Linked DNA regions of Callithrix jacchus. The protein of the gene in region 2 interacts with the protein of the main gene of each other region in a pairwise test. Links are inferred from orthologs where the notes say so. Each region holds a gene or a part of one and is shown on either strand. Other genes may lie near its edges.

The links.
Region 1: the proteins of BANP (region 2) and LENG1 interact in binary tests that used the Homo sapiens proteins (3 or more experiments, as listed by UniProt). The two-hybrid records come from large-scale screens. The link is inferred for Callithrix jacchus from reciprocal best matches to the Homo sapiens genes BANP and LENG1.
Region 3: the proteins of BANP (region 2) and FAM117B interact in binary tests that used the Homo sapiens proteins (3 or more experiments, as listed by UniProt). The two-hybrid records come from large-scale screens. The link is inferred for Callithrix jacchus from reciprocal best matches to the Homo sapiens genes BANP and FAM117B.
Region 4: the proteins of BANP (region 2) and POGZ interact in binary tests that used the Homo sapiens proteins (3 or more experiments, as listed by UniProt). The two-hybrid records come from large-scale screens. The link is inferred for Callithrix jacchus from reciprocal best matches to the Homo sapiens genes BANP and POGZ.
Region 5: the proteins of BANP (region 2) and MAP2K1 interact in binary tests that used the Homo sapiens proteins (3 or more experiments, as listed by UniProt). The two-hybrid records come from large-scale screens. The link is inferred for Callithrix jacchus from reciprocal best matches to the Homo sapiens genes BANP and MAP2K1.
Region 6: the proteins of BANP (region 2) and PPIF interact in binary tests that used the Homo sapiens proteins (3 or more experiments, as listed by UniProt). The two-hybrid records come from large-scale screens. The link is inferred for Callithrix jacchus from reciprocal best matches to the Homo sapiens genes BANP and PPIF.
Region 7: the proteins of BANP (region 2) and ZMIZ2 interact in binary tests that used the Homo sapiens proteins (3 or more experiments, as listed by UniProt). The two-hybrid records come from large-scale screens. The link is inferred for Callithrix jacchus from reciprocal best matches to the Homo sapiens genes BANP and ZMIZ2.

Annotation. Positions count from the first base shown.
Region 1 is NC_133523.1:47,340,262-47,344,852, reverse strand, and holds the start of LENG1 (leukocyte receptor cluster member 1), read left to right. Parts: upstream 1-1,582; 5' UTR 1,583-1,605; coding exon 1,606-1,737; intron 1,738-2,784; coding exon 2,785-2,964; intron 2,965-3,875; coding exon 3,876-4,138; intron 4,139-4,591. Other genes in the region: voltage-gated chloride channel TMC4, read left to right, coding at 124-254, 351-506, 763-841, 936-1,004.
Region 2 is NC_133521.1:45,581,218-45,585,694, reverse strand, and holds the start of BANP (protein BANP), read right to left. Parts: upstream 3,060-4,477; 5' UTR 2,976-3,059; exon of another isoform or gene 1,588-2,975; intron 1-1,587. UniProt on the Homo sapiens protein: Controls V(D)J recombination during T-cell development by repressing T-cell receptor (TCR) beta enhancer function. Binds to scaffold/matrix attachment region beta (S/MARbeta), an ATC-rich DNA sequence located upstream of the TCR beta enhancer.
Region 3 is NC_133507.1:123,900,856-123,904,555, reverse strand, and holds part of FAM117B (protein FAM117B), read right to left. Parts: intron 1,467-3,700; coding exon 1,148-1,466; 3' UTR 1-1,147.
Region 4 is NC_133519.1:11,336,959-11,340,764, reverse strand, and holds part of POGZ (pogo transposable element with ZNF domain), read left to right. Parts: intron 1-3,323; coding exon 3,324-3,499; intron 3,500-3,806. UniProt on the Homo sapiens protein: Plays a role in mitotic cell cycle progression and is involved in kinetochore assembly and mitotic sister chromatid cohesion.
Region 5 is NC_133509.1:13,516,274-13,520,079, forward strand, and holds part of MAP2K1 (dual specificity mitogen-activated protein kinase kinase 1), read left to right. Parts: intron 1-1,331; coding exon 1,332-1,533; intron 1,534-3,528; coding exon 3,529-3,593; intron 3,594-3,806. UniProt on the Homo sapiens protein: Dual specificity protein kinase which acts as an essential component of the MAP kinase signal transduction pathway.
Region 6 is NC_133513.1:50,871,508-50,875,929, reverse strand, and holds the start of PPIF (peptidyl-prolyl cis-trans isomerase F, mitochondrial), read left to right. Parts: upstream 1-1,453; 5' UTR 1,454-1,536; coding exon 1,537-1,731; intron 1,732-3,154; coding exon 3,155-3,185; intron 3,186-3,753; coding exon 3,754-3,842; intron 3,843-4,422. UniProt on the Homo sapiens protein: PPIase that catalyzes the cis-trans isomerization of proline imidic peptide bonds in oligopeptides and may therefore assist protein folding. Involved in regulation of the mitochondrial permeability transition pore (mPTP).
Region 7 is NC_133512.1:12,835,797-12,839,602, reverse strand, and holds part of ZMIZ2 (zinc finger MIZ domain-containing protein 2), read right to left. Parts: intron 2,583-3,806; 5' UTR 2,521-2,582; coding exon 2,471-2,520; intron 2,347-2,470; coding exon 2,232-2,346; intron 1,837-2,231; coding exon 1,634-1,836; intron 1,397-1,633; coding exon 1,213-1,396; intron 931-1,212; coding exon 670-930; intron 1-669. UniProt on the Homo sapiens protein: Increases ligand-dependent transcriptional activity of AR and other nuclear hormone receptors.

The DNA.
Region 1 (4,591 bases), on a different chromosome or scaffold from region 2:
ATTGCAATCCAGCCTGGGTAACGAGAGCGAAACTCCGTCTCAAAAAAAAAAAAAAAAAAAAAAAAAGGCAGGAGGCACAGACCGTTGTTTCAGATCCCCTTCCTCTGTGCCTTCCCCTGCCAGCTCACCCTCTTCTTCACCTGCTCTCCGGCTGCCCGCACGTTCCGGGCCTCCACAGCGAATTTCTTTTTCCCCCTGGTCCTTCTCCTGGGTCTGGCCATCTCCAGCGTTCCTCTGCTTTACAGCATCTTCCTGTAAGTGCGAGAGGCTCCTGCCTCTTTCCCTCCCTCTCCCTGCGTTCAGCGTTCAGACTCCTGGCTCTACGTGAGCCCAGCCTATCTTGACTTCAGGATCCCACCTTCTAAGCTATGTGGTCCATTCCGGGGGCAGTCGTCCATCTGGGCCCAGATCCCTGAGTCTATTTCCAGCCTCCCTGAGACCGCCCAGAACTTCCTCTTCTTCCTGGGGACTCAGGCTTTTGCTGTACCCCTTCTGCTGATTTCCAGGTGAGTTTGCCCAGACTTCTGGGTCTGGGTTTGAATGCACGTGATCTGGGGGCCACCACCTGCGTCGGAGAGAGGAGAGGCTCGGGGTGGGAGGAGGCCTAGGGTCCAAAGGAGGAGGAGGAGGAGGGTGGGACTTAGGACTCCTGGGCTGGGAGACTGAAGTCCTTGTAGATGACATCCTGGCTTTGAAGGAGCCAGGGGTTTGTATAGAATGGAGGAGCGTGTCAGGAGTGGCTTCTGTTCGTGTCTCCTCCAGCATCCTGATGGCGTACACTGTGGCTCTGGCTAACTCCTACGGTCGTCTCATCTCTCAGCTCAAACGTCAGAGAGAGACGGTGAGCCAGGCGGGTCCCTGAGAGGGACCCCGTGGGGGACATTGAAAGGCATTGGGGGAGAGGGCTGTCTGACCTCCACCTCTCTTTGCCTCAGGAGGCGCAGAACAAAGTCTTCCTCGCACGGCGCGCTGTGGCGCTGAGCTCCACCCACCCGGCTTTTTGACCCCTGCAGCCCATGTCCCACCTTCAGACTCCAGGCCAATTGTAAGCCTAGGTCACATCTGTAAAACTAGGAGAACTAGAGAAGACCCCACGCTCTTCCAGCTCTAGGATCTGGAGGTTTCCAGAGACCCTCGCCGCCACGTCCCAGACTCTCGGGTGATCTTTCTTCTATGAATAAACACAGCCGAGGTGACTGAGCGCGCTTTGAAATCTGCGTCCTGAAGGTGGGGGCAGGGCTACATCAGGGCGGGAGCCAATCAAATGCATGGGAATGTGTGGCCGTTCGAAGTGCTCTTCCGCAAGGAGACTTGATGGTTGTGTTGGCCAATCGGCGGCCGAATCTGGCATTAGGGGAGGGCCAACTTGCGATTGGCTCGGATATGTGAAAAGCGGTTGCTAGGGGATACCACGCGCCAAAAGCCTGGCATTCGCTGAGATAAAGGGCGTCTTAGCCAATCACCTGTCGTTACAGGCCAGGGGGCCGTACCAATGAGTTAAGAACCAATCTGTGGTCGAAGTAGGGACAAGAGGGAAGGGGCATTCTCTCGCCAATCGGAAGTGCAGAGAGGCGGGCGTGCCAGTCCGTGGACTGCTACGACGCCATGAATATCTTGCCCAAGAAGAGCTGGCACGTCCGGAACAAGGACAATGTTGCCCGCGTGCGGCGTGACGAGGCCCAGGCCCGGGAGGAAGAGAAGGAGCGTGAGCGGAGGGTGCTGCTGGCTCAGCAGGAGGTAAGCCTGGGAACCGGCCGGGCGGAACTCCGGGGCCCAGCGCGCAGGCGCCATGGTAGGGGGCCGGAAGTGGACGCGTTGCGCAGGCGCCGTGTGCCCCGTATGTAATTCGTGACCCGGCGCGGACCTCTTTTCCGAAACGTTGCTCGGCAAACGTTGTGCCCACTTGCATGAAATCTCCCTTGATCGCCCCCTCGTCTTGTTTCCCCCCACTGATGTATTTCACATGGCTAGAGCAGTGTCTAGCACAAAAGAGAAGCATAAATGTTTACCGAATTCAGGATTCCTTGGACAGTTTGAGGAAATTCGGATCACTTTCTAGTTGGCTTGCACAGTCTATTTATTGAGCAGTTACTGTATGCTAACTGCATGCAGAACGCCTGACTTCCAGAATCCCCCTTAAGCACCGTTCTTTCTTAAAGAGGCATTGTCATCTCCGTGGCACGAAGTGAGATGGCGTCAAGGGAGGGGAAGTCTCCACCCCCTTGGGCGAGCCCTTTCCCTGCACCACCCCCAGACACACACACAAACATGGGCTTTATGTATAGCTCCTTAAATCTGTTTGGTGTACACCTAACTTTCAGTTCCTTAGCCAGTCTGATCCTCCACACTGGGAGGGAGGTAGTCTGGGTTTTTAGAATCTCAGTAGGCTGCTGAGAGCTTTGTCCTGAAGGTGGGAGACCGGGCTTCATCAATGGACTTGGGGTAATGACTTGGAGCCATGCCTGGAATCCAGATCATCTGACCTAATGCAGTTTGTTCTACCTTTATAGCTGTTTTAATTGTCTCACTTGAGGTTAGGAACCCCTTTGGTTTAGGCCAGGGACCTCCTCCCAGCCATCCTTGATGTGTGGTTTACTATTTGAAAGGCAGTTTACAAAACCCAGGTGTTGCCTTATCTGCCTACCCTCACCCCTGCTAGGACAGGTGCCCCCTTTCTTACAAACCCAGCACCCTGGACTGCTGTTTCCTGTGGTGCGCACCAGACTTAAAAGTTCTTGAATTACCTTTAGGTTTTTAATGTCTTGCCTGTAACTTTCTCCCCAGGCCCGTACAGAATTCCTACGGAAGAAAGCCAGACATCAGAACTCACTGCCTGAGCTTGAGGCAGCAGAGGTGGGAGCCCCAAGTTCTGGCCCTGTGGACCTGTTTCGAGAGCTGCTGGAGGAGGGGAAAGGCCTGATCAGAGGCAATAAAGAGCACGAGGAAGAAAAGCGACAGGAGAAAGTAAGCTGGCCTTATCTACTTCATCAGAGACATGAATGGAGCTGGGGGGAGGGACACTTTAGCCATTGGTTGTGACTAAGGCTAAACAAGAGTGAACACTCAGAATTTAGAACCATACCAAAGCACACTCAGAAGTGGTGGCTGTTGCCATTTGGGTGCCCTCAGGGCTTGGAGGTAGATGCTCGAGATCCCCAGCTGCTAGGTGAACTGCTCAGGTCTCCAAACTGGAGGGGTCTCAAACCTGATGAGCTTTTAAAAATCTAAATCAGCTTGGTGGTGGCTCATGCCTGTAATCCCAGCATTTTGGGAAACTGAGGTGGGCAGATCACCCGCGGTCAGGAGTTCAAGACCAGCCTGGTCAACATGGTATCTCTACTAAAAATACAAAAAAAGTTAGCTGAGCATGGTGGCATGCACCTTTAGTCCCAGAGGCTGAGGCAGGAGAATCGCTTGAACCCAGGAGGTGGAAGCTGCAGTGAGCTGAGATCGTGCCACAGCACTCTAGCCTGGGTGGCAAGAGTGAGACTCAATCTCAGGAAAAAAAAAAAAAAAAAAGTGAATCAATCACTTCTTGCCTTTTGGCTAAGATCGAGTGTAAAAGCTCCTGTTCCTCACCTGCTGTCTCTGGACTTGCTGACCCCACCCACGGGTCCTCTTGCTTTGCTTGCTCCCTGCAAAGATGCCTGCCTCTGAACATTCAGGCAGCTCCACCCCATCCCCTCCTTCCTCTGCTTTCTGTGACTGTCCCTGCTATCGTCACCCCAGGGCAGGAGCTTGGCCTCTGCTGGTCTCTTCCCTCCCCAGCACCTGGCACAGCTGCTTCACCATAGGCCTTAGATACCTGTGTCAGGGAGATAAACCTGACACCCTGAAAGATTATATCCCATCTCTTTTATTTCCTGACCCCTCAGGAGAGACAAGAGAAAGCTCTGGGCATCCTGACATACCTGGGCCAGAGTGCAGCCGAGGCCCAGACTCAACCCCCTTGGTACCAGCTCCCACCAGAGCGAGGGGGTCCCCCGCCTGGCCCAGCCCCAGATGAGAAAATAAAGAGCCGCCTGGACCCTCTGCGGGAGATGCAGAAGCATCTGGGGAAGAAGAGACGGCACAGCAGTGATGAAGGCAATCACAGCAGAAAGGAAAAGGATGGCTCTGAGACACAGCGACCCAAGGGGTGAGGAGGAGGACCCTGCCCTGGCAGAGCAGGACCCAGATCTTCAGGGCTTGGCAGCAGCCTGGCACAGGCACAGCAGGAGCTCTGGGTGGAACAGCCAGGGACCCCGTGAAGGGATGGCTGGGTGGAAAAGTGGTTCTCACCATGTGGTCCAGGGAGCCCTAGGGGTCCTGACTCCCTTTCCGGGGGGTGCCGTGGTGTCAAGCCTATTTTCCTAACACTGTTTGCCTTTCACACTCATTCTCAGGCAGGTAGTGCAGCTTTCCAGAGGCTACATGATGAGAAGACACCCTCACTGTGATGACTAATGGCAGATACTTATGTCCAAGTTTTCTTAGTTTTCACTTCTGATTTGCATGATATTAACAGAACCCATTGAAACAAACGCTCTTGGGACCCCCTTTTTAAGAGTATAAAGGGGTCCTGGGACCAAAGAGTTTGAGAACCACTGGG
Region 2 (4,477 bases):
CCGTCTCAGACGCGACGAGGGAGCTCCCCAGAGCTGAAGGACCGGCCACCAGAGTCACAGTACCAGAGTAGGAATCCACACTTCAGCACACAGTAAAACACCACGAACACCAGAGACGATCAGAAAGGATTCAGGGAGGGAGAAGGTTCTCCACAGGGAGGAAGAGCACCTGGCAGGGGTTCACGTTGAAATGAACAACGCTGACATGAACATGGAGTCCTGAACACACCCAGCCATAGAAGAAGGGAAATGATCAGGCTGGCTCGTGTGCAGGTTACAGAAAAAGCTGAGAGGCTGAAGAAGGAGGGGACCTGACCCTACCCTGAAAACAGGGTACATGAGATGGAGGAGGCGGCATGTGACAGAAGGGATCCGTCACCCATCATAACACAAAGTCAAGGCTGAGTAAAAAAAGTATCAGCTTAGGCCAGGGGCGGTGGCTCAAGCCTGTAATCCCAGCACTTTGGGAGGCCGAGATGGGTGGATCACGAGGTCAAGAGATCGAGACCATCCTGGTCAACACGGTGAAATCCCGTCTCTTCTAAAAATACAAAAACTTAGCTGGGCACGGTGGCTCGTGCCTGTAATCCCAGCTACTCAGGAGGCTGAGGCAGAATTGCCGGAACCCAGGAGGCAGAGGTTGCAGTGAGCCGAGATCACGCCATTGCGCTCCAGCCTGGGTAACAAGAGCGAAACTCCATCTCAAAAAAAAAGAAAGTATCAGCTTAAAGGGCACGTTAAAGCCCACCCTGGGCAACAGGTGTGGCAGCTCATGCCTGCAACAACTACTAAGGAGGCTGAGGGTCACCAGGGCTGGGTAGAGTCTGTGGAACACAGGGAGATCCTATCTCAAAAACAAATGAAAAGACCAGCTTACTTAGAGCTATGGAGAAGGACCTCAAGAAACCAGGCTTTGAAGAATGGGGCTGGGAGGTGGGGCAGGGGACACTGCTTTTCATGTAAGTCTTCCACTGACATGGCTGCTGTATACACTATGTTGATTAAAACACTGAATGGATGGGGTGTGTTTTTTAAGAACATCAGCTTAGAGAGACTGAACTGGAGCCCTGGCTCTGTGCATCTGCACACATGCCCTCAGCATCTGCAGCCACATCACCTCATCTATGGAGTGGGGGTCACGGTGAAGGATGCAAGATGTTGAGCTGCCCCCACAGCCTGAAGCTCTTTTTTTTTTAAAGATTAAAGCCACAGCCTGGGAAACAAGGCGAAACCCCCCCCACTATACAAAAATTAGCCAGGTGTGGTGGCACCTGTGGTCCCAGCTACCTGGGAGGCTGTGGTGGGAGGATCACTTGAGCCAGGGAGGTTGAGGCTGCAGTGAGCCAAGATCACCACACTGCATTCCAGCCTGGCAGACAGTTAAAATCCTGCCTCCAGAAAATAAAAACATTAAAACCAGTGAGCACAGAATCCAACATTGCTGAGAAACATTAAGTTTGCCCTGGCCCCGTGGCTCCCTTGTGGAGAGGACCTTTCAGTTAGTGGTAAGCGGGTAACAACTGCCTACCTGGAATATTTCTTGAGTTGTAAGTAAATACAGAACACCTGTTTATTAACAATAATCACCTGTTAACATGTGGATCGGAGCCTGCTGGGGGCCTTCAGCCTGGAATGCTGTCAGCCCCGAGGCTCAGCTCCGTAGGCTATGGGCCCCGCCAGACCCTCGATGCTCTTCTACCTGGGCGTCTTCCCACTGCCTCCAGCGCAGCCTGGGTGGAGGTCTCCCTGCCCAGTGGTACTTGCTGCAGCTTATGAATATATTCTTATTTGAATTGCAAGGCAGGGGAAATGCACCTACATACAGTTTCACCTCGTTTCGGTGTTTTCTTCTAGCACTGGGTATTTGCGAGCTGCGGGCGAAATGACCAGATCTAGTTTTAATTTGATGTTTTCTGATCTTCCTCAGAACCACTCACTACTCCGAGCTATTTTTCTGTCCCCCAAGAACTTCCAGCTACAAGTGTACCCTAAGACTGCCTCCTCTTATCGGTTATTTATTGCAGCGCAAGTTCCGCCAACGCCATCAGGCCCTGGAGTACATTCCCGGGCAGACAGGCAACTCCAAACAGAGAATGACCGGCTCCACATCAACTGTGCGGCCCGGGCCTCCCCGGGGAGGGTGCGAGCTCGCCACCGTTCAGAGCCCACACTCGTGCACCTGCTCACAGTTCTTCAGGGCTGATGTATCTCCCCAAGAGCAAGACAAGCCCTGCCACGTCCTCAGGGAAAAACCACAGTCCCCTCCAGCAAGGCACTGTCTCCAGTGCGCTCACACAGTGGGGATGGAACGTCATCTACTTTCTGCACCCCAGGGAAAAACAAACGGCCCCCTTTTTAGGGGCTGCACCACAGAACTCGCACACAGGCGCTGAGGAGGGGGCCCCCGGGAACGGGCTGGGGTCCTCGCCGAGCTCGGCGGCAGCCCTGAGATCGCCCGTTTCGCTGCGCGCCGGAGGCTTCCGCGTGCAAGTCCTGGGCTACTGGGGCTCCTGTCCACAGCCATGGAGGAGGCACAGAAACGGTGCCCGTCGCTCACGGCTGGCTGGCAGGAGCCACCCCCGAGGGAGACCTCGGTCCCCCGAGGAGCACGGGCGCGGTTCTAGGCCTTTCCAGTCTCCCCGCCGCGGCCCCGGAGCAGAGATCGGGAGCTCGAGGCCCCCGGGCCGGGCTACGGCAGCCGCGGCCCAACGGACGCCGGGGCGCGGCGGGGCAGGGGGTGCGGAAGCGAGGAAGCGGGAGCCCCTCTTCCGGGGCGCGGCCAGGGACGGGGAGCGAGGAGCTGGGGGCGCTCGCCCGGCCCAGACAGTTGGCGGCGGCGGGGCTGCGGCGCGGACGGCCCGGCGGGCGGGAGGGGGAGGAGGAGGAGGAGGAGGGAGGAGGGAGATCTCGCTCTCGCTCTCGCCCCGCGGGAAGGGGGAGGCGGAGGCGCGACCGGCTGCGGGAGCTGCAATTACCGTGTGGGCTGCGGAATTCTCGTGGTGTTTGTCGGGGAGATGCGATAATGGCGTCCGTCCTCGCGAGAGAAGCCGCCGCTCTGCGCAGGCGCCGCGAGCCCCTCCCCGCGACGCTCGGCCCCCGCCCTCCGCGCAGGCTCACTGGGCGCGCAGGCCCGGGGGTGGGGCCGGGGCCGGGGCGGGGCGTGCGGGCGGCGAGGCCCACTACGCGCACTTTTCCCGCTCGGCCTCCCGGTGAGCATGCGCAGGCTGGCTTCTCCCGCGACGGTATCGGCTTCCCAGGGCTTTTTTCCCCCCGTTTTTCGCCCACGCGCCTGGCCTGCCTGAGAAAACTCATCTCAGTGGACTGTCTGAAGAATTTGCATCTTCTTTGAGATGGAATGAATAGGCATTAGCTTCCTCAACGACTACATCTCCCAGGGTTCCCTGCGCAAGCTAGGAGCGATGCATTCTGGGACTCGTAGTGCCTTCGTCTGGACCCTGCCTGCCGGGACTTGTAGTCTCTCCGGACTCCGGTCGCGGCGTCCAGTCCCCGCACCAGGGGCTGCTGGGACTTGTAGTTACAATGATTCAGGTGGGCTGTGCGCCCCCAGCGGGTCCTACTTGCTGCTGCGACGAGTCCTGCCCTGAGGTTCCGGAGCGCTGGGAGGCGTGTTTCCAAAGATGTAAGTGGTCAGGGGTCCCCATTGTCCGTCCAGAGGGGCCTGAGTTCACGCGCGCGCGGGGGGGTAGCACACACAGTAGTGATTATGGTCTTAGACATTTCCTACATGAAACACATGCCTAAGTGATGGCGGCCAGGCGCCGTGGTCACGCCGGTAATCCTAGCACTTTGGGAGGCCAAGGCGGGCTGATCACTGGAGGTCACCGGTTCGAGACCAGCCTCGCCAACATGGTGAAAACCCGTCTCTACTAAAATTACAAAAATTACCTAGATGTGGTGGCGCAGTCCTGTAATTCCAGCTACTTGGGAGACTTACGCAGGAGAATCACTTGAGCCCAGGAGGCAAAGATTGCAGTGAGCCGAAATCTTGCCGTTGTACTCCAGCCTGGGCGACAGAGTGAGACTCCGTCTCAAAAAAAAAAAAAAAAAAAAAAAAGGATGGCATCGAATGTGCACACGTTATATTTTATGTAGAATAAATGTGCAAATGTGCATTTGTGGTAATCCTAGGAAAAAATTCCCAAAGTATAGGGCAATTCCTGGAAATGTCATTCCTGGTTATCTCCCTCTGTTTAACTGGACTGCATTGCCTTTCATTTCTTCTTTACACTCGACTCTGTTTTCCGAATTATTTGCAATGAGCAAGAATGCCTTTGATCTCCCAAACCCAGGGCAAGGGAGCTGTTTTCACTGGGAGAAGAAAAGGCTTTACCTTGATAAAACCAGGACTGAGCGCAGTCACAGGCCGTGCGACCATGGGCAACCTTACCGAGTCAAAGTCTCCTCCAGAATGAGGCCCAGAGGTTCCACTGAGGCTGGCGGCTGGGTTACTCACAGC
Region 3 (3,700 bases), on a different chromosome or scaffold from region 2:
GTCAGTCACAGGATTCTGCGGCTACGGTTCGGATCACTATCCACTGGATTACACTCCTGGCAAACTACTAGCCCAACCAAATCCACAAGACAACAACATCACAAGGGCAAAGGAGGAAATCCATGCACAGCCATTTCAGGATCTCTTGGGGCTATGATACAGTGATGATTAAAGGTAGAATGACACCTGTGGTGAGGAAGGGAGAGTGTGTGATATATATATATATATATGTGTGTGTGTATATATATCACAGAAAACCAATGGGGCTCCTTACTCTTAGCTAGCAATCAACACTGGATAGTTTCCTTTTGGCTCACTGACTTTTAAATCAAGTTCCAATATGGGTGAGAACATATTAAAGCACTTGTCTTCAGACTACAATTTTCTGACCACAAGGTGAAATGTGTATAGTGAAGAAAACAGCAGTTATACAAATATTTCACCCAAAGCACAAACTTTTGACATCAAAAAACATAAATCACATAATATACAAATATTGCTTTTTATCTCTTTTTATATATACTTGTTCAATGCATTTACCTATCAATCCTTGTTTGGGAGATTAATCCTTAATCTCTTGCTGGGAAAACGTCAACAATCCCTTTGGTCCCAAAGCTGAAAACAGCTGAGAAAAGCACACATCTAGAAAGGAACAAGAAACAGAGGCCACCAAAGAATCTTTTGAACATCCTGTTTTGCTACGTTTCAGAAAATGTAACATTGGTATATTATAAAATAGTCATTTTCATAGAAAAGATGGTTCTTGCAGCATCAGTCACATCTCCCTTTAGGAATCATGTTTGCAAGGGTGTGTCTGTGTGTGTCTACTATCTGTCGACAGTTGTGTGTGTGTTTTAAAGAAGTCTAATTCGAAAACAATGTGATATTGTCTCTTCAAAGATAAAGAATGAGACCTTTCTTGTTTCAATCAGTGCTTTGATAAAAAGCAGGCTAAGCACTGAGGGTTGGCGTACACGAGTGGGGCAGAGCCATCACAGGGGGTCCTTTCTTCCAGAAGCCTCACCATCACATGTCACTGGAAAGCTGGAGCACATCACAGCTGACCAGAAGCGCACGATGCCATCAGAATCCAGTGATCTGAGGAGGTTCCCAATTTCCCAGAACAAGAGCCACGTAGCACTGTGACCTATCCTTCAGCTTCCTCAATTGGTTCTGGTGGTGGGAGCAGAGAAGCTGATGACATGACTGTACTTGTTCCTCGAGAGACTCGGTCTTGCTCTGTGTTTGTAGACAGGGAGGCCATAGCAATAGGTTGCAGCAGAGTGGTGGTCATGCCAGTGGTGACTGTCAGGCTGTGGCCAGAGCCCTTGAGTGTAAGATCAGGAGTGGGAAGGAGTGGCTTGAGGATGCTGACGAGGCAGAAAGCAGATCCACTTTTAGGAATGAAATTCACCTTGTTTTTGTCAGGACAATAAAAGGCTGGGATTTCATGAAGCTGTTTTGGCCTAAACACAGAACAGACAACCCAATGCTTTTTAGTCACTGAACTTAAAAAAGAAGCTTGGAAACAAGCTTTTAAAACACAGTTAACTTACAGCACAGAAAAGGAATATAAAACTCAAGCTCAATCAAAAGCTGCAAACACCAAGGACCAAAGTGCTATCTGACATATGATTCAACATATGCATCTCAGAGTGCAAGAAGTCCCCATCATCACTGCTGATTTCAGTTCCCTCAACAGCCCCGTTACCACGCAGGTGGCTCAGGCAGATGAGCACTGCATGTGAATGAAGAGCTAAGACAATCAAGGGAATAATAAATTTCCTATAATGAAAGAAAATCTAGATGTTTAAAGATGCCATAATTTTTCTAAGGTCTGTAGTATACTGGAGGGAAACAGCAAAGAAACTGAAGACATACAATGTCTGTCTTTTGTTAAGCTCCACCACTGCATGACTAAATTATGGTAGGCATGGGTTTTCTCTTCAAGTGCTTATAAAAATCTCTTTGATTGAAACAATTCTGTGAGTTAACCATGATAGTTTTCTGAGCAATATAATGTAAATGTGAAATAAAAATTAAAAACTCCTTTGCTTTGAAAGTTTTTATTAAAGGCAAATTCTTCCCTTGTCCTAGGTCCTCCTGAAAATTAACCTGAATTGTTGAAAAATATATTGGCATTAATGATATTTCATGAAAATTAAAAGTATAAAAAACTACATTATTAAAGTTAACATAGAAATGCCACAAAATTAAAGCAAAATTAAGGTAGAAGAACCTAAATCAATCCTCTCTTCCAATGACAATAAAATCTAAGTCAACCTGCGTGGTGGTTCATACTTGTAATTCCAGCACTTTGGGAGTCTGAGCAGGGAGATTACTTGAGCCCAAAAGTTCTACACCAGCCTGGGCAACATGGTGAGACCTCATCTCTGTAAAAACCTTAAAAAAAATTATCTAGTGTGGTGGCCTGCACCTGTAGTCCAGCTACCTAGGAGGCTGAGGTGGGATAATGGCTTGATCCTGGGAGGTGGAGGTTGTAGTGAGCCATAACTGGGCCACTGCACTCCAGCCTGGGTAGCAGAGCAATATCCTGTCTCAATAAAACAAATCTAAATCAGTTCAATAAAAATCTAAGTGTGCCAAATATGCACTAAATTCTGAGAACACAAAGTTGAAACAATCCACAGGAGGAGGTGGACTAAATTTATAGTTCTTGTGGGGTGAAGAGTGATGGGGACAGAACTGTTTCAACATAATTAGCTTCCTTTATAATCTTGCGTGTATTATGCATTTAAAACATTATTCAGAGATGAGATCCACAAGCTTTACCAGACAGACTGCCAAAGATGTCCAGAGCACAGAAGAGGTTAAGACCTCGACAAGAGAATCTAACAGGTGATAACAAAGGTTTACAAAAAGGTTTAAAGGTAGCATGGGGGGCCTGGAGGAAGACGGAGGGTTTGGTAGTCATCCTCGGAGCTGGGTTTTGAAGAATGAGTAAACAGCAGATGGGGAGTGGGCACCAAAAAAATATGTGTTCCAAGTAGACAACGATTGGGGGGCAGGTTTTATTAATAGTGAACACTATGGACAGCTTTGGCAAATATAACAGTTCAGAACAAAGAAAAATATATCATGTAAGTTATGTTCTACTTGGGCACTATTCTTTGTTGATTACAATGAAAACTTAGTAATTTGAATACTTTCAGTGCCACAAGCATATTTGGATATGTTACTGATAAGAACAACACACACTCTTCTGTTTTTATCATCTGAGAACATGATTTTCAATATACTGAACTTGAGGAAGTTGAGGTTATGTTTTCATAATTAAATAATGCTTGAATTTTCCTATGCAGACAGAATTATTGAAGTAAACTTTCATATTTGTAGAATGAAAAACTTCTTGTAGAAAAAGAAAAGTCTAGTTAATTTTAATACTTCCATCCAAATGAGGCCTAGATTTTTGACTGACTTATTTGTTTATCTTCCTAAAAATGACTTAAGACACGTGGCCATTAACAGGTCTCTGAGATGAAACTTTACATTTCTGAAGTACAAAATTCCTGACTTAGATAAAAGTTCTTGATCTGGAATTGTTTTTTTAATGACAGGAATTGAAAAACGATTTTACGACCATATCCAAGTAACTGACTGTTCAGAGAAAGTTTCTAATTTGGAGGGCTTCTTAGCTTTTGCGATCTTCAAACGCTCTATTGGTGGTTGCTGTTTATAA
Region 4 (3,806 bases), on a different chromosome or scaffold from region 2:
GGTTTGCTTTGCTTTGTTTGAGATAGGGTCTCACTCTCTTACCCAGGCAGGAGTGTAGTAGTGGCACGAACATGGCTGGCTCACTGTATCCTCCACCTCCCAAGCTCAAACGATCCTCCCGCCTCAGGCCCCCAAGTAGCTGGAACTACAGGCACACATCACCACACCTGGCTGTTTTTTGTTTTTTATTTTGAGTCTTTCTCACACTGCTGCCCAGGCTGGAGTGCAGTAGCAGGATCTTGGCTCACTGCAGCCTCCGCTGCCTGGATTTGAATGATTGTTGTGCCTCAGTCACCCAAATAGCTGGGGTTACAGGCATGTGCCACCATGCCCAGCTAACTTTTGTATTTTTAGTGGAGGTGAGCTTTCACCATGTTGGCCAGGCTGGTTTCAACCTCAAGTGATCCGCCTGCCTCAGCCTCCCAAAGTGCTGATATTATAGACGTGAGCCTTGTTTTGTTTTTGTGTTGGGGTCTCACTGTGTTGCCCAGGTTGGACTCAAACTCCTGGGCCCAAGTGATCCTCCTGCTTCAGCCTCTTGAATAGCTGGGACTACTGGTGCCTACCACTGCTCCAGGCTGGATAATCCTTTTAAAGGCTTTTTTTTAAAGTACCAGAATTCTAATTGCCTTTTCATCCTCTGGAAAGAGAACCTTGTAAGACACTTGAATTGTCAGAATTCCTTTGAGCTAAGGTTTAAAAGATTGCAGAAATTATTTAAAATGCTTCTAAATAAGCAGGTATAATTTACCCAGTGTGACTTTCCATAGTCTGGCTTTTGCTTTCCATTGAATCGTGAATCTAATCTGGTCTTTGAAAACCACTATTTTCTTTGTCCCATATTTTTGGAAAAATTCTAACATTCCACCAGAATTTAGACTTGACCCTGATATAAGGGAAAATATTTGGAGAAAATGCTGTTAACATTTTTTATAATGGTATTTATGGGTTTCATGGAAACCTGGTCTGTCTGTAAGAGACTTGGGAATGCTGATTGATTTCACATAAATGCAAAAAACCTCCATCTTTCCCTTCTTGTATTTAATTGGGATGTTGAGCCAGGAATTATCTTTTTTTTTTTTATCTTCCCAAACTGGATATGATAGCCGGGAATTATCTAAATGTTTTTTAGGATTAGGATAAACGAGATAATTTATTTTCTTTTGTCCTAGCAGTTAAAACAATGACTAGAAAATCCAGACTTCTGCTTAGTCAATGTTTTTCAACTATAAATTTCAAAAGGATAGAAAGAGATGGTTGGGGAACCTGTGGATTAAAAGACTTGAGTGTTGTTCATCCATTGCACTTTGCCAACATTTTGTAACTGGATTCAGACAAACGCTTTAAAAAATGCAAATAAGTAAATTTGAATTTTGACTGGGTATTTGATATTAAATGTTCGGGAGTTATGTTGGTATGATTCTTTATCTTTTTTTGAAATCCTTATGTAGGAGGTACATTTTGAAATATTTGTAGATGATATGATCTAGAACTCGTTTTAAAGTAATATGGGAACTAGTACATGTATAGGAGGTATAGATGAACTAAGACTTGCCGTGCGTTAATAATTAACGAAGCAGGGTGGTGTATAGGGAGGGGTTCACCGTAGTGTTCTGTTTCTTTGTATGTTTTAACTTCTCCATAATAAAGCATTTAAAAGATTTTAAAAACCCACCATCAATACATTGCCAGTATAATTTAACATGGATAGAACTTGCTGGAATTCTCTGTTTTATTTGTCTAGCTGCCTCTACAATCACTAGTCTTCTGGCTCAGTAACTGAGGGTCTAGTCTACTGATGAGCTCTCAGTTTCTGAGAGAGTGTGAGATGAGCCACTGCTGGCCCATTAGTAGCCACCTACATACCTATTCCTTTGGTGGTGTAGCTTTGTAGTTAACTGTGGTGATGGACCTGCCAAGTGGAATGTACATTTCAGAGGGGCCTGTCCTATTCTGGTGATTTTGGGTAAAAAGTTGAGACAATATTTTGCTTAACTCTTTGGTTTTTTGTTTTTTGAGACAGAGTCTTGCTCTGTTTCCCGGGCTGGAGTGCAGTGGCACAATCTTGGCTCACTGCAACCTCCACCTCCCTGGTTCAAGCAATTCTGCCTCAACTTCCCAAGTAGCTGGAATTACAGGTATGCACCATCATGCTCAGCTAATTTTTGTATTTTTAGCAGAGACGGGGTTTTGTCATGTTGGCCAGGCTGGTCTTGAACTCCTGGCCCCAAGTGATTCACCTGCCTCACTCTCCCAAATGCTGGGATTACAGGTGTGAGCCACTGTGCCTAGCCTGCTTGACTCTTTCGCCTAGGTATATTGGCTCTCTGAAATTCTCTATCTGGTTTTGAGTATTCTTTGTATATCAGGAAACTTAGTGTTGATTTTTGTTTTCACCAAATGTCATGAAATAGGGGACTTAAAAATATTTATGAAATTATTTTCTCACAAATGAAGAGTTGAAGATATTTCAGTAATAGCCCTGTTTATTCATATTTTTATTCATGAATGAATGATTATCTTCTGAAATCATGTCATTTTTACTTGGTGTGGGTTAGTTTTTGTCTGGGTCTTCTGTTTATCAGCCCTGATGACATGCAGAGAAAGGTGGTAGGTAGCCTGTCAGTCTCTGGGTCCCCTTCTAAAAGACAGTGGTTGCTTAAAGAATCTTGCATTTCTCAGATTTAACTTACTAGGAAGAGAAACCATTCTTCAGATTCTGTGTACTTGCTGAATTAATGTTTGTTGATGAATATTGTTTTTAAAGAATTAAGGGGGATTAGCTAACAAATTATATTCTAATAAAATAGGTTTTACCTAGTTAAAATATGGAAAAAGACTTAACATATTTTGTTCTGTGCTGATTTGGTGGGGGAGATTATGTGTGGTCACCTTAAATCATGAGAGTCAAGGTGATAGTCACATAGAATTCTAATGTGTCTTTCATCCCCAGTTAAGACATATGGGTGAAATGTTAGTGAACCTCCCCTACCCATCTGTTTTTCTGTTAGTTGTAGATTTGGGTGAAGCTTAAATTTTTGGCGAGTTTGGTCACATTAAACATGGTGAGTGTCAGTCTTGGATATTTTGGCGTCTGGGACATCATTTCTGTTTCTTACAAAATGTGGATTTGTACTTGGGAGGCTGAGGTGGAAATATGGCTCAAGCCCAGGAAGTTGAGGCTGCAGGGACCCATGACTGTGCCACTGCACTCCAGCCTGGGTGACAGAGCGATATCCTGTCTCAAATAAATAAAATAAAATGTAGGTTTAACATTCATTGTTTTTAACGTTCCTTTTTTTTCCCCCCGCTTAACCTTTTAGCTGGCAACCCTCTGGTCCAGCAAGGTGGACAGCCGCTCATCCTGACCCAGAATCCAGCCCCAGGTCTGGGCACAATGGTTACTCAACCAGTATTGAGACCTGTTCAGGTCATGCAGAATGCCAATCATGTGACTAGTTCCCCTGTGGCTTCACAACCAATATTTATCACTACGCAGGTGAGTAGGACTCTGAATTTCAAGGTTTCTAGAGGAGAGAAAGAATATGAACCTCTGAAAGCTCTGACTTAGGGTCTTTAGCACCATTAGTAGTAGTTCTAAGTCTTGTCTTTTGACCTTACTTTCTCATTTACCGTTCTGTAATTTGATGCTGACTGTGGAATGCCTGGTATAGCATGGTTGGGTAATATCCTCTTTAAACCCCTTAGAAGTTTATTAAGAAATTTGATTAAAGTCTAGGCAGAAATTAGTGGGAAAGCTTGGATTAGGAAGCCTTAACCCTTGGCTCTCGAGACTTTTCACCCTT
Region 5 (3,806 bases), on a different chromosome or scaffold from region 2:
TCTCTTTTTCTGTCATCTCCTCACTGCTTCTTCCCTAAATGTCTAATAGAACAGCTGGCATCCTGGGCCATTTGACTGCCAACTCTCAAGTTCAAAATCCTTTAACAGGCCCTGGGACTCACTGATCAAGGGTTTAGTGATTTGAGTTTTTGTGATTATATGGTCAGTTCCAAAATAGTCTAGTGTTGGAGTTAGTGAAAAATGCTACGAGAGAAGTTAATGTCTAAATGGATATACTATGGCCAGAGTAAAGATTTTCTTGGTAGGGTTCTTGAAATACGTGCTATTTCAAATAATGCTCATTAAAAATAATGCTTTTGTATACCACTGTATACTTTTTTTCTCTTTGGCTCTTCCCACCAGTATCAACTAATATTTGTATAACATTCTGCAACATCTGACATACATTTTCATTTGATTTGATCTTTTTAGTAACCCTAAGTAGAGTTTTGTTATGTCAGTGATAAAATATTAGTCATTTTCATCAGCAGCTCCCATTTTTTTTTTCTTTCTTTTTTGTGACGGAGTTTTTGCTCTTGTTGCCCAGGCCAGAGAGCAGTGGTGTGATCGCGGCTCACTGCAACCTTCGTCTTCTGGGTTCAAGAGATTCTCCTGTCTCAGCCTTCTAGGTAGCTGGGATTACAGGTGCCTGCTACCATGTCCAGCTAATTTTTGTATTTTTAGTAGAGATGGGGTTTCGCTATGTTGGCCAGGCTGGTCTCGTGACCTCATGTTATCTGCCTGCTTTGGCCTTCAAAAAGTGCTGGGATTACAGGCATGAGCCACCACGCCCAGCCCAGCAGCAGCCCCATTTTATAGATGAGGCTGAGATTCAGGATCCTTTAGCTTGTAAGTGGACTTAAGTCTCAAACCCACTGATCCTAGATCTTTTGTTCTCTGTATCCACAGCACCACCTCATTCCCAACCCGAGTTCCACAAGCTTCATGTTTCAGATTCAGTAACAAGATGAACCTCTCATGCTGGGCTTTGGACAGGCTTCCCTGCCCATGCAAGACAGTGGCCAAGCTGGGTAAAGCTAACCATAGGCTGAAGTGGCAGCCAGGCCCAAGCCAATTCATGTGGTCTGTTAGTTTAGTCCAGATTATAGGAGAGATAGAGCAGGGAGGAGGGGTCAAAGACAGTGGTGCTAGCTAGGATTTAGTAAACAACAATATTTGGGGGCAGGCAGGAGGCCAAATTCAAGAGATTAGTGGAGCTCTTGAAACAGTATATTAACTATTCAGAAGGGACAGAAGGGAAAATGCATTAGCAGATCCAGGGGTCCAAGTTAGGTCAGGTGATTATAACTGTCTCTTTGTCTCTCCTGCAGCCAGAAAGACTCCAGGGGACTCATTACTCTGTGCAGTCGGACATCTGGAGCATGGGACTCTCTCTGGTAGAGATGGCAGTTGGGAGGTATCCCATCCCTCCTCCAGATGCCAAGGAGCTGGAGCTGATGTTTGGGTGCCAGGTGGAGGGAGATGCGGCTGAGACCCCACCCAGGCCAAGGACCCCTGGGAGGCCCCTTAGCTGTGAGTAGCCTCGTGTGTCCCCACCTTGGACTGTGGGGGTCCCTTACTTTCAGGGATTTCTGGAGGGCTGATTCTTCGTACATTTTGCCAAGACTGATTCTGTGTCCCTGGATGCCACACTAGGGCAGGGAGAAACAGCAGGGGTCTCCAGGTGGGTGTAGGAAAGTGTTATTACCAACAACTTCCTACCATTTGTTCAGTTCCCAGTATTCTGGGAACTGCACTTAGCATTTTGCATACATTATCTAATCTTTTTATTTAAGAATAATGGTCTTGCTGTGTTGCCTAGTGCAGTGGCTAGTTACAGCCTTCAACTCCTAGGCTCAAGCAGTCTTCCTCCCTCAGCCTCCAGAGTAGGCTGGGACTACAGGCTATAATTTATTAGGGGGTTTGGGAGGGAAGGGGCTCACTCTTGTCACCTAGGCTGGAGTGCAGTGGCATGATCACAGCCCACTGCAGCCTCAACCTCCCAGGCCCAAGTGATCCTCCTACCTCAGCCTCCTGAGTAGCTAGGACTACAGTCACATGCCACCACACTCAGCCAAGTTGTTTTTTATTTTGTAGAGACATGGTCTCCCTATGTTACTCAAGCTCAAACTTTTGGGCTCAAACAATCCTCCCGCCTCAGCCTCCCAAAGTGCTGAGATTACAAGCATGATCCACCATGCCTGGCCTCTAATTTGTGGTTTTTCTTTTTGGATACTGGGTTTTGCCCTGTCACCCAGGCTGGAGTGCAGTGGTGTGATCATGGCTTACTGCAGCCGTGACCTCTTGGGCTTAAGTAATCTTCCTGCCTCAGCCTCCTGAGTAGCTGAGACCACAATGCCTGGCTAATTTTTTAATTTTTTAGTATAGATGAGGTCTTGCTATGTCTAGGCTGGTCTGGAACTCCTGGGCTCAAGTGATGCTCCTGCCTTGACCTCCCAAAGTGCTGGGATTATAGGCATGAGCCACTGTGTTCTAATTCGTTTTTTAATCATGACTTTTGGTAGATTTATTTTTTATTGGAATAGAATTCACAGAAGACAAAATTCACATTTTAAAGTATGTAGTTCAGTGGTTTTTAGTATATTGTTCCATGTTGTGCAGCCATCACCACTGTCTTATTCTGGAACATTTACATTACCCCAGAAAGAAATCCCATCTCCCACTCCCCCCAGCCTGATCCCCGGACAACCACCAGTCTACTTTCTGTGTCCACGGATTTGCCTAGCATTATGTAATTTTAGTAGCATTCCATTTTTGAACATGATTATAATCTCCATTTTAAAGATGAGGAAACTGAGGCACAGTGCACTTGTCAAGGCTACATAGGCTTGTAAGTAGCCAAGTCTGACTCCCAGGATGATAAACGCTGTGCAGAACCACCTGCCTCGCTGAACGTGAATAATGGGAACTAAGCCTGGTACTCAGGGAATAGCCTGACCCAGCCATCTGTTTTTTATGTAGCTCCTGTCTGGGTAGGGATACCTGCCTTTACCTCTGTGAGGTCCACATGAGAGAGAGCTTGTATGAAGGGGAAAGCAGAGGGGGCTAGGGGTAGCTTGTTCACAGGTCATTGGAGGGCCTGGTGGCTGTGGCCTCTGAGGCTGGCCTATGATTCTAGGAGACAAAAGGAAGAAACGCAGGTTCATGGAGAATTAAAATTAAGGTCTTTAGTTATTTAGCTGCTCTCTCATTTGCTTCTCTCTCAACAGGAGGAGGAGGGAAAAGACAGACAAAATTATGATGCCTGTGCTTTACAAAACTCAGAACTTTGGCTCAGCAGTGAACTGATTTGCCAAAGGTTACAAACTTAAGATGTGGCAGAGCCCAGACTTGTACCCTGGCCTTTGCTGGTCCCCTCTCTGTTCAAGCCTTACCTGTGGCTGTTTAATCTGTTTATTGTCCATGACCCTGTTCTGGCCCTAGGGATCCATGCCCAACCCCTTGCCTCATATTAACAAGTAATCTCCTGTTTCTGAGAAGTATTTTTTCTTTTTATAAAATTTGTAGCATATGGAATGGACAGCCGACCTCCCATGGCAATTTTTGAGTTGTTGGATTACATAGTCAATGAGGTAAGTACTGCCTGGTTTCCTTGACCTTGGAATTTTATTTGCTTATTTTAAGAAAACACCAGTGGCTGGCCAGGTACAGTGGCTCACGCCTGTAATCCCAGCACTTTGGGAGGTTGAGGCGGGTGGATTACATGAGTACAGGAGTTTGAGACCAGCCTGGCTAACATGGTGAAACCCCATCTCTACTAAAAATACAAAATTAGCCGGGCATGG
Region 6 (4,422 bases), on a different chromosome or scaffold from region 2:
GGCCAGGAAGCATAGAAGGGGGATACGAACTTCCAGAAGCCAAGCTAGCCAAACTTCCAAACTGCCAGAGGCCAAGCTAGCAATCTCATGAAGCAGGGACAGTGCTCTGACCTCATGAATTTGCTTGGCTAGCATTTTGCTGCCCTACCGGTTCCTATGAGCCAATTCAGGATCTGGGGCAGGTCAATCCAGAGCCAGTCCCTGCTCAAGCCCACCTGCCTCCAAGGCTCAGCCCCACCCCTTTCTCTGGCCACTCAGGCCTCTGAGGCCACTGCTCTCTGAATCTCAAACCCTGAGAAAGGTAGTCCAGACTCTGTCCATGACAGATGCCCATAGGCACAGTACTTAGTTGACAAATCCATCTCTCTCTAGTTCATTTTATCCTAAGAACAGACCTGGGAAAAAGGCAGGGTGAGGAGCGTGATCACACCCCCAGATGGGAAACTGGCCCAGAGAGGCCTGGGAACACTGTGCAAGCTTGCAGCAGGACTCTAGGGCTCCCTAGTTCTAGCCAGTGCCCTCCTATGTCCGGGCCTCAGCTTTTCCCCTGGGCACAGTACAAGTGTTGGGCCGGATGCTCTCTCAGGTCCATGCCTCGTGTCCATTTATTGCAGGCTTCCCACCACCTCGCAATGAGGATGGCTCTGGCTGCTGGGAAGCCTACTCTGGGTACATGGGGTTTAAACGCTCCTGCTGCGGATGTCCCCACTGAGTCCCCTCCCAGGGTGCATGCTGATGGGAGGGGCAGGTGGCGGTCTGAGTTAGCATCTGGCAGAGCCGTGGGGTTGGTGGGGAGCTGTAAGCGTGAGTCCTAGGAGGTGGGAGTCAGACCCAGTCCTGGGGAGGGCTGGGGACCTGGAAGGAGCATGGCAGGCCCAGGCTGCGTTTTCAGTCTTGCTGGAAGCAGATCTGGTCCCTAGAAACAACTAGAGACAGGCCCAGGCCGAGACAGGCTGCGGGGCATCATGGGAAGCGTCTCAGCTTACCTCCTCCCTCCTGTGCCTCCGGCTCACTAATCCCGCTTCTCATTTCACCTTTCTCTAACCCTCTCCGACTGCAGGACCTAGGGCGGCAGGGAAGCTATTTGGCCTGAGCCTTACCTATAAAGGGCTCAAAGGTAGACTTTTGTTATTATATTCAAATTGCAGCATGTAGACGCTCATATTTGGGAACTAATTATGTTTTAGCATTTTTCCTTTTTAAAACCATCTGCTGGTACCTTCATAAACATGGAACTAGCATCCTTTTGCCGGGTGGTGTCTGTGCTCTGGGTTCTCCCGGCCTGGAGGCGGGAGTGTTCCAAAGCAATTCGCGCCTCGCGGCTCCACCGGCTGGCTGCGCTGCCCGCCGCGACCGGCAGGGGTCGCCCACGGACAGGCCTGGAGGAGGCGGGACTGGGGCGGGGCTGCGAACTCGGCCAGGCGAATAAAGGCTGCGGCGAGCGGCCGCCCGGGACTCTGCTTTCTGGTCGCGCGCGACCTACGTTTCGGAGTTCTGTGTTCTCCCCGCCGGTGTCCCGCCGGATCCGCGCCCACGATGCTGGCGCTGCGCTGCGGTTCCCGCCGGCTCGGCCTGCTCTCCGTCCCGCGCTCTGTGCCGCTGCGCCTCCCCGCGGCCCGCGCCTGCAGCAAGGGCGCCGGCGACCCGTCCTCTTCCTCCTCCCCCGGGAACCCGCTCGTGTACCTAGACGTGGGCGCCGACGGGCAGCCGCTCGGCCGCGTGGTGTTGGAGGTGAGACCGCTCGCAGGGCTGGCCTGGGCGCCGGGCACGGGCTCGGGAGAGCCCTGGGCCCCGGGCGCGCTGGGTGAGCTTGGATCCCCCGCTTGCTGGGTTCTGGGCCTCAGTTTCCCTGTTTCTGAGAAGGGGCGTCAGATTGGTCTCTTCCGGCCTCCTTCGGAGCACTGGAGCGAAGGAGACAGGGAGGGAACGTGTGGAGGAGAAAGCTCAAGGTCAGATTGCAGAGGGGAGGGACCAGCACCCCCGGGCCAGCCCCGGGAGAAATGAGGGGCTCCAGGAGTCTTCAGGGGCTCAGCCTAGACCTGAAGCTCTGAGGTGGGTGTTGGGGGTCTTGGGGTAAGAGTTGTGGCTCACTCGTTGTGCCACTCACGTGGCAGCCCTTGTACAACGTGGAGCACGCCCTGACTCTGGCCCCGCCACCGGGTCAGGCTTACACTGGGGGGCTGGAAAATGAAACTAGAGGTGTTTTCCAGCAGTAGTGTAGGCCCAGCAGGCCTCAGGCCTTGGCCACCTGGTGGACCTCTGAATGCCCCTCCTGCAAGTCGGGACACACTCACACAGTGTGCCCCCGAGCCTCAAGCCCTGCCACCGTCCTTGGGGTCCACACTCAGCACCTGCCCTGACTCTTTCTTTGGGCCCTTTCTAAAGCAAAATAAGAAAGAGTCACCAGGGTAACTTTAGAGGGAAAGCCCTAGTGGAGGCTTCCCGCCGGCCCCACATTGACAGCAGGGGACAGTTCGTGTTGACTGGCCCGTTTCCGAGGGAGCCCTTGATATTTCTTGTTGAGTCTCAGTTACTTCTGGAAAATAGGGACACCCTTCCTGCTTCCATTTGGTTCCAGGGTGGCTCTTGCTGCTTTGAGGCTAGAGGCTTGCTGGGATGGGGTTTCAGCCTTCCCTCCCCACACCTTCATGCCCCTCCCTGTGCCTCAGTTTCCCTTCCCCCAATTGAGGAGCTGAACTGGCTTCTACCTAAGACCCGCCTTGTTGCCCTTGAGTTTCTGATGTTTTGGGCCCAGATGTGGGAGCACTTCCTCTCCCTGGGCCTCAGTTTACCATCCCCAAATTGAGGAGCTGGACCGGGTCCTACCTTAGACCCGCTCTGTTGCCCCCGAGTTTCTGATGTTTTGGGCCAGTGTGGGAGCACTGCCAGCTGTGTTCCCAGAAGTAGGCCAAGATAGCATTGTCATCTCTTCTGACAGATTAGGGAAACAAGGCCACCTCCTCCAGCGCTGGGTTCAGGAAATGGCTCACAGAAATGATAGGGCTGCCTCCCACAGGGGTTGGCAGTAACAGAAATGGAATGGCCACATGCTTCCACCTCAGCCTCTTGGCAGCTGCGGTGGGTGCTGAGAGATACCCACCTTCTCCTGCCTCTCCAATGACCATCCTCTTTTGTCCCTCTTCTCTCCCCACAGCTGAAGGCAGATGTTGTCCCAAAGACAGCTGGTAAGACAGGGCCTGGGCCTTCTGAGATGGGTCTAGAGGGAAGGGGGCCAGGCAGGGCAAGGTGGGTGGAGTGGTGAGAAGAGTTGGGGCTCACAGATCCCTGATGGATGGGAGCTCCATGTGTGGCTCAGACACTGGGTGCTCTGGGGCAGCCCTTATGTCCCTATGTGGGCCTCATCGTTGGCTCTGCCCTCCTCTTTCATAGTAGCTGGGAGCCTCAGAGCTGGTGGAAGGCACATGTAATAAATTTCCCAGAGACTTCCCCCTTCCTGGTGCCCGATGAGGCAGGGTGATGCACAATCAGTGCTTGAGTCCCTGCTCCACTGGTGCTAATACAGCCGTAAACTATACTCTTGTCACAGTGCTCAGGCACTGAGGTCAGGGCAGGGGAGTGACTGTGACTTGTTCAGTTATATAGCGAGTTGGACAGAGCCGACCCAAGATGGTGGACCAGGGTCTTTATCCCCCCGTTCACTGCTGGGGGTGTAGCAGGGATTTTGGCTGGAACAGGTATGACCCTGGAATTGGGGCCTGGCCCTGTTGACCTGTGTCTCCCTTCGACCCTCAGAGAACTTCAGAGCCTTGTGCACTGGTGAGAAGGGCTTCGGCTACAAAGGCTCCACCTTCCACAGGGTGATCCCCTCCTTCATGTGCCAGGTAAGGTGGTTTCTCCTTCTGTAAGAGGGCATGAGAGCAGGAGCTGCCTTGTGGGTGTATGAAGATGCCTGGTGTGAGGAAGGTGCTGAGCTGGCCAGCTGAATCGCTCTTTGGGCCAGGCTACCCTCCCTGTATTCGCCCTGGATCCAGGCTTCACCGCACACAGAGGCCCAGCTCCAATCCGATGCCATTCCAGGCCAGTGGCGGGCCCTGCCCAGGACGCTGGGAGATAGAGCCTATCAATAGAGGGCTGGGTTGGGGGATGGATGTGCCTGGGGGTGGCCCTGAAGGCTTTGAGGAGCCCGCATATTCCAGTGGTCTCTGACCTTGTCCCCTGCCTGCCCCTGAGCACTCGTGTGGGAGATAAGAGAGGGAGAGAAGAGGAGGAGGCGGAGGAAGAAGACGGGTCCTGCGCGGGAACACACATGCCAGAACTTGGAACTTCCCTTCCGAGGGAAAGGCATTATTCTTGGGAAGTGCATGTGTTTTTCAGTCATGTGTCATGCTCAGTTTTCACAAGCATTGGTATTGCTGTGTCAGGTTTGTGGCCAGGTGTTGGCAGCAAGAACTTCCTGGGGGT
Region 7 (3,806 bases), on a different chromosome or scaffold from region 2:
TGCTGTGACACTGTCTGGCATAGGCAGTTCTCACACGCAGAAGCCTTTTTTTTTTTTTGAAACAGTCTCATTTTGTCACCTAGGCTGAAGTACAGTGGCATGATCTTGGCTCACTGCAGCCTCCACCTCCCAGGTTCGAGTGATTCTCCTGCCTCAGCCTCCCAAGTAGCTGGGATTACAGGTGAGCACCACCACGCCCAGCTAATTTTTTGTATTATTAGTAGAGATGGGGTTTCACCACGTTGGCCAGGCTGGTCTCGAACTCCTGACCTCAAGTAATCCACCTGCCAAAGTGCTGGGGTTACAGGTGTGAACCACTGCACCTGGCCTTTACTCTTGTTTTTGAAACAGGGTCTAACTCCCGTTGCCCAGCCTGGAGTGCAGGGGAGCAATCACATCTCTCTGCACCCTCGACTTTTTGGGCTCAGGCGCTCCACGTGCCACCACCCCAGGCTAATTTTTGTAGAGACAGGGTTTCACCCTGTTGCCCAGGCTAGTCTCAAACTCCTGAGCTCAAGGGCTCCACCCTCCTCAGCCTCCCAAAGTATAGGGACTACAGGAATGAGCCACTGCACCCGGCAGAAGCCCGTTCTTTACCACAGCTCTAAAGGGTGCCTGGGTGAGGGAGTTGGTACCCAAGGCCCCAAACTAGGTGATCTGGACACTCACCTCAGAGTAAGTTCTCTTGACCCCCTGTCGGGGCAGTGGCTGGGCCTGGGGAGGCCCAGGATACCCATGTTGAGGCAGGCGCTGCCCTGCATACAAGGGTGCCATTCCTGCTGCCCGGGTGGGGTTCATAGCCATGGGGGAGAGGCCGGAGGGGCCCATCACCCCTCCCATGCCAGTAGGGTTCATGCCAGTGGGGACACTAGGCCCCCGGGGACCTCCATGCTGCAGAAACTGGCTGTTAAAAGACTGTCCGGCCCCCATCTAGGAAGAGAATAAAGAAGAATGGTCTAGGCCCCACCCACAAAGGGCTCCACAAGGTAGAGACACCACCCACCCACCCACCAGGGTGGGCACCATACCGTTTCACAGGACAGCCCAGAAACCTCCCCTCAGACCCTCACTTCTTCCCACACATCTCTTTTCCTGGCCTCGTGAGCCCTGGCGTATTCCATGCTTGTCCCTGGAGCCCGCTGCCGGGAGGAATACCTCCTCCCAGGCCCTCAGGCTGGCTGCCATGTGGGAGGAGCTGCTGAGGGGGCTCACCGCTCCATACTGGCTCAGCTCCTGGCTCTGCTTCTCCTGGAGAGCAGCCACGGTGGCTGTGGCCGTGGCCGTGGCCGTGGCTGCAGCAGCAGCCACTGCGGCAGCAGCTGCCGCTTGTGTGAAGTCAGTGGAGGGTCTTGCAGCGTGTGAGGGGAGGCCCAGGCCCCCCGGTCCGCCGGCATACCTGCAGGAGACACAGGATTGCCACGCTCTCTGCATGGGCTCATGAGGGCCAGGACCATGCTCACCCCAGAGGCATGCAGCACCCAGGGGGAGCCCATTCTTTCTAGACCCTCCATGACAGCTGTCGGAGCTGGCGGAAAGCAGAGAGGCAACGTCCAGCTGATCAGTGCCACAGTCCTGAGGTGCCTGCCAGGTTGATGGCTCCTAGCACACCTGCCAGGTGAGGGGACCTGCTTACCCGGTGGCGAAGCCGGGGGCCCCAGGGTAGCCCCCGCGACTGTACACGCCTTGCTGCACGTAGCCCTTGTTGGCACCACCTTCAGCAAACGCCTGCTGTCCCAGGCACTGTGGGGAGGTCAAGGCGGAGCTGCCCCCTGCCACACCAGGCATCATGGAGCCGCCAGAGGGACTCCCTGCAGGGCCCATGGGGTTCCCCAAAACCTATGAGGAAGCAGGAATCACCAAAGGCAACCAGCCAAACAACATGCTTCATGCAGCAGCTCCAAAGTGCTAGAAACCAAGAGTCCTGCCAAGCGGGTTGGGGGATTGGTGGAGGGGACGGGGTATCACACAGAAGCAGGGAAAGCAGCTGTCCACAGGTAGGTCGGGGCATCCTGTGAAGGCTAGGTGAAGACCGGAGAAGAAAATCTCACAGCAGGTGTGGAAAGAGAACCAGTGTCCTAAGATTTAGGGGACTCAGGAGGCCCCATCCTCATGTAAGCCTCAGCCTCTCCATCCTCACCTCTCAGCCTCTCAGAGCTTTAAGGAGGCACTAAGCACTGCCAAGTGCTGGGAGGCTCTGTCTACTTGGGGATGGGGTCCCAGTGGGTGCTTACCTGGCTCTGCGTTGCGTTGCCAACTCCCCACACAGTAGTGACCACGGACAGTGATCCAGCCGGCTGAGTGGCGCTTTGTTGCCAAGGCACAGACTCGTACGCAAATGAACCATCACTGCAGGGAGAGAGGCTGCTGAGGCCTGGGTCCGGAAGCCATCGGTGTCCAGAGTCCAGGACCTTCCGGAAATGCCACCCCCAACCCCAGGACCTGAGGGGTGGGTAGAGGGGTCCACACTCACCCGTGTGGCGCGGGGGGCAGGGCAGGTTTCATGGGGTTCATGGAGTTCATTGGCAATGGAGCAGCCTACAGGCCGGGTCTGACAGTGTTTATCTGGAACTCAGCTGCTTTGGCTGCCCAACAGGAGGGAAGGGATGTTAGCTGAGATGCAGCCAGGAGACCCTTTCAGCAGGGTGGAAGGACCCCAGTACCACCAGGCCCCACCCCTTTCTCAATAAAGGACACCTGGGCACCGACGGCAGGCAAGGCAGTGGAGGAGGCTGGCACTGGCCCACCCCACCCACTCTGGTGATGCTCTGCCCCCACAAACCCAGCCTGGCAGCCAGCATGAACCCTTTCTGATCCAGGCCCTGCCACCCAGATTCACTGGATCAACCTTAGAGACGGCCTTCCTGATTCCAAATACTTTCCCCACTCTCCTACTCACACCAAAGGCTGGATATCCATATAAAGTCAAGGACAATCTTAGCCACCCTGTAGAAAATGGGATTTAGAGAGGAGCCAGTAGCCAGGAACCCCCCAGAAGGCCCTGGGGTGAAGGACTGAAGGCCAGTGGGGGTGGGCAGACTCCCTGCTCAAGGTCTTACCTACCCTGAGTAGCCCAGGTAGGGGCACAGGCACTTCTGGAGGCCAGGGGCTGGGAAAGCCAAGGAGGAGAGTGCAGTGGTCAACCAATAAACCTCCATCCTGGCCGTGGGAGGGAAGTGCAGGATACCTCCTGAAATGGGGTGTTGGGCCGATAACCCGGGACCTGGCTGGCAGCCCCTCCCACCAAGAGGGCCCTCCTCAGGGCAGCAGAAAGGCTCCAGGCAAGGGGACCTCAGAACTGACCCAGATTCCACCAAGTGGGGGCTGCCTGAAGCTGGTATGATCATAGGGGCCAGGCAGGCAGACACCCCCAGGGAGTGCTCAACAAGAGAAGGCAGGGACACACACAATAGATGGAGGGTGGGCATTCACAGACCTGGCAGGGACTATGACTTGGCCAGTGTTTCTAAGCAGGAGGCTTGGGGGATGCTGAAGTGACTCTGCAAGATGGGGCTGAGTCGACTCTGGGTACCTGGTGCTCAGGAAAGGGCAGCAGAGGGGGTGTGTCAGGGAAGAATGCAGCAGGTGGACACTCACAGGACCATAGTGCTGGCACCATGGGACTTCTATGTGCTATGCTAAGTTTGCTCTCCCCATTGAGTAAACAAGCCATGGAAGTGACCACACCTCAGGTTGCCTCCAAGTGCCACACCTTCCCACGCTGCCACAAGCAAGCCCCTTACCAAAGTGGGCCCAGACATCCCCTGGGGCCCTGTCCCTGGATTGTCCCCAAAGGACCCTCACCGGCA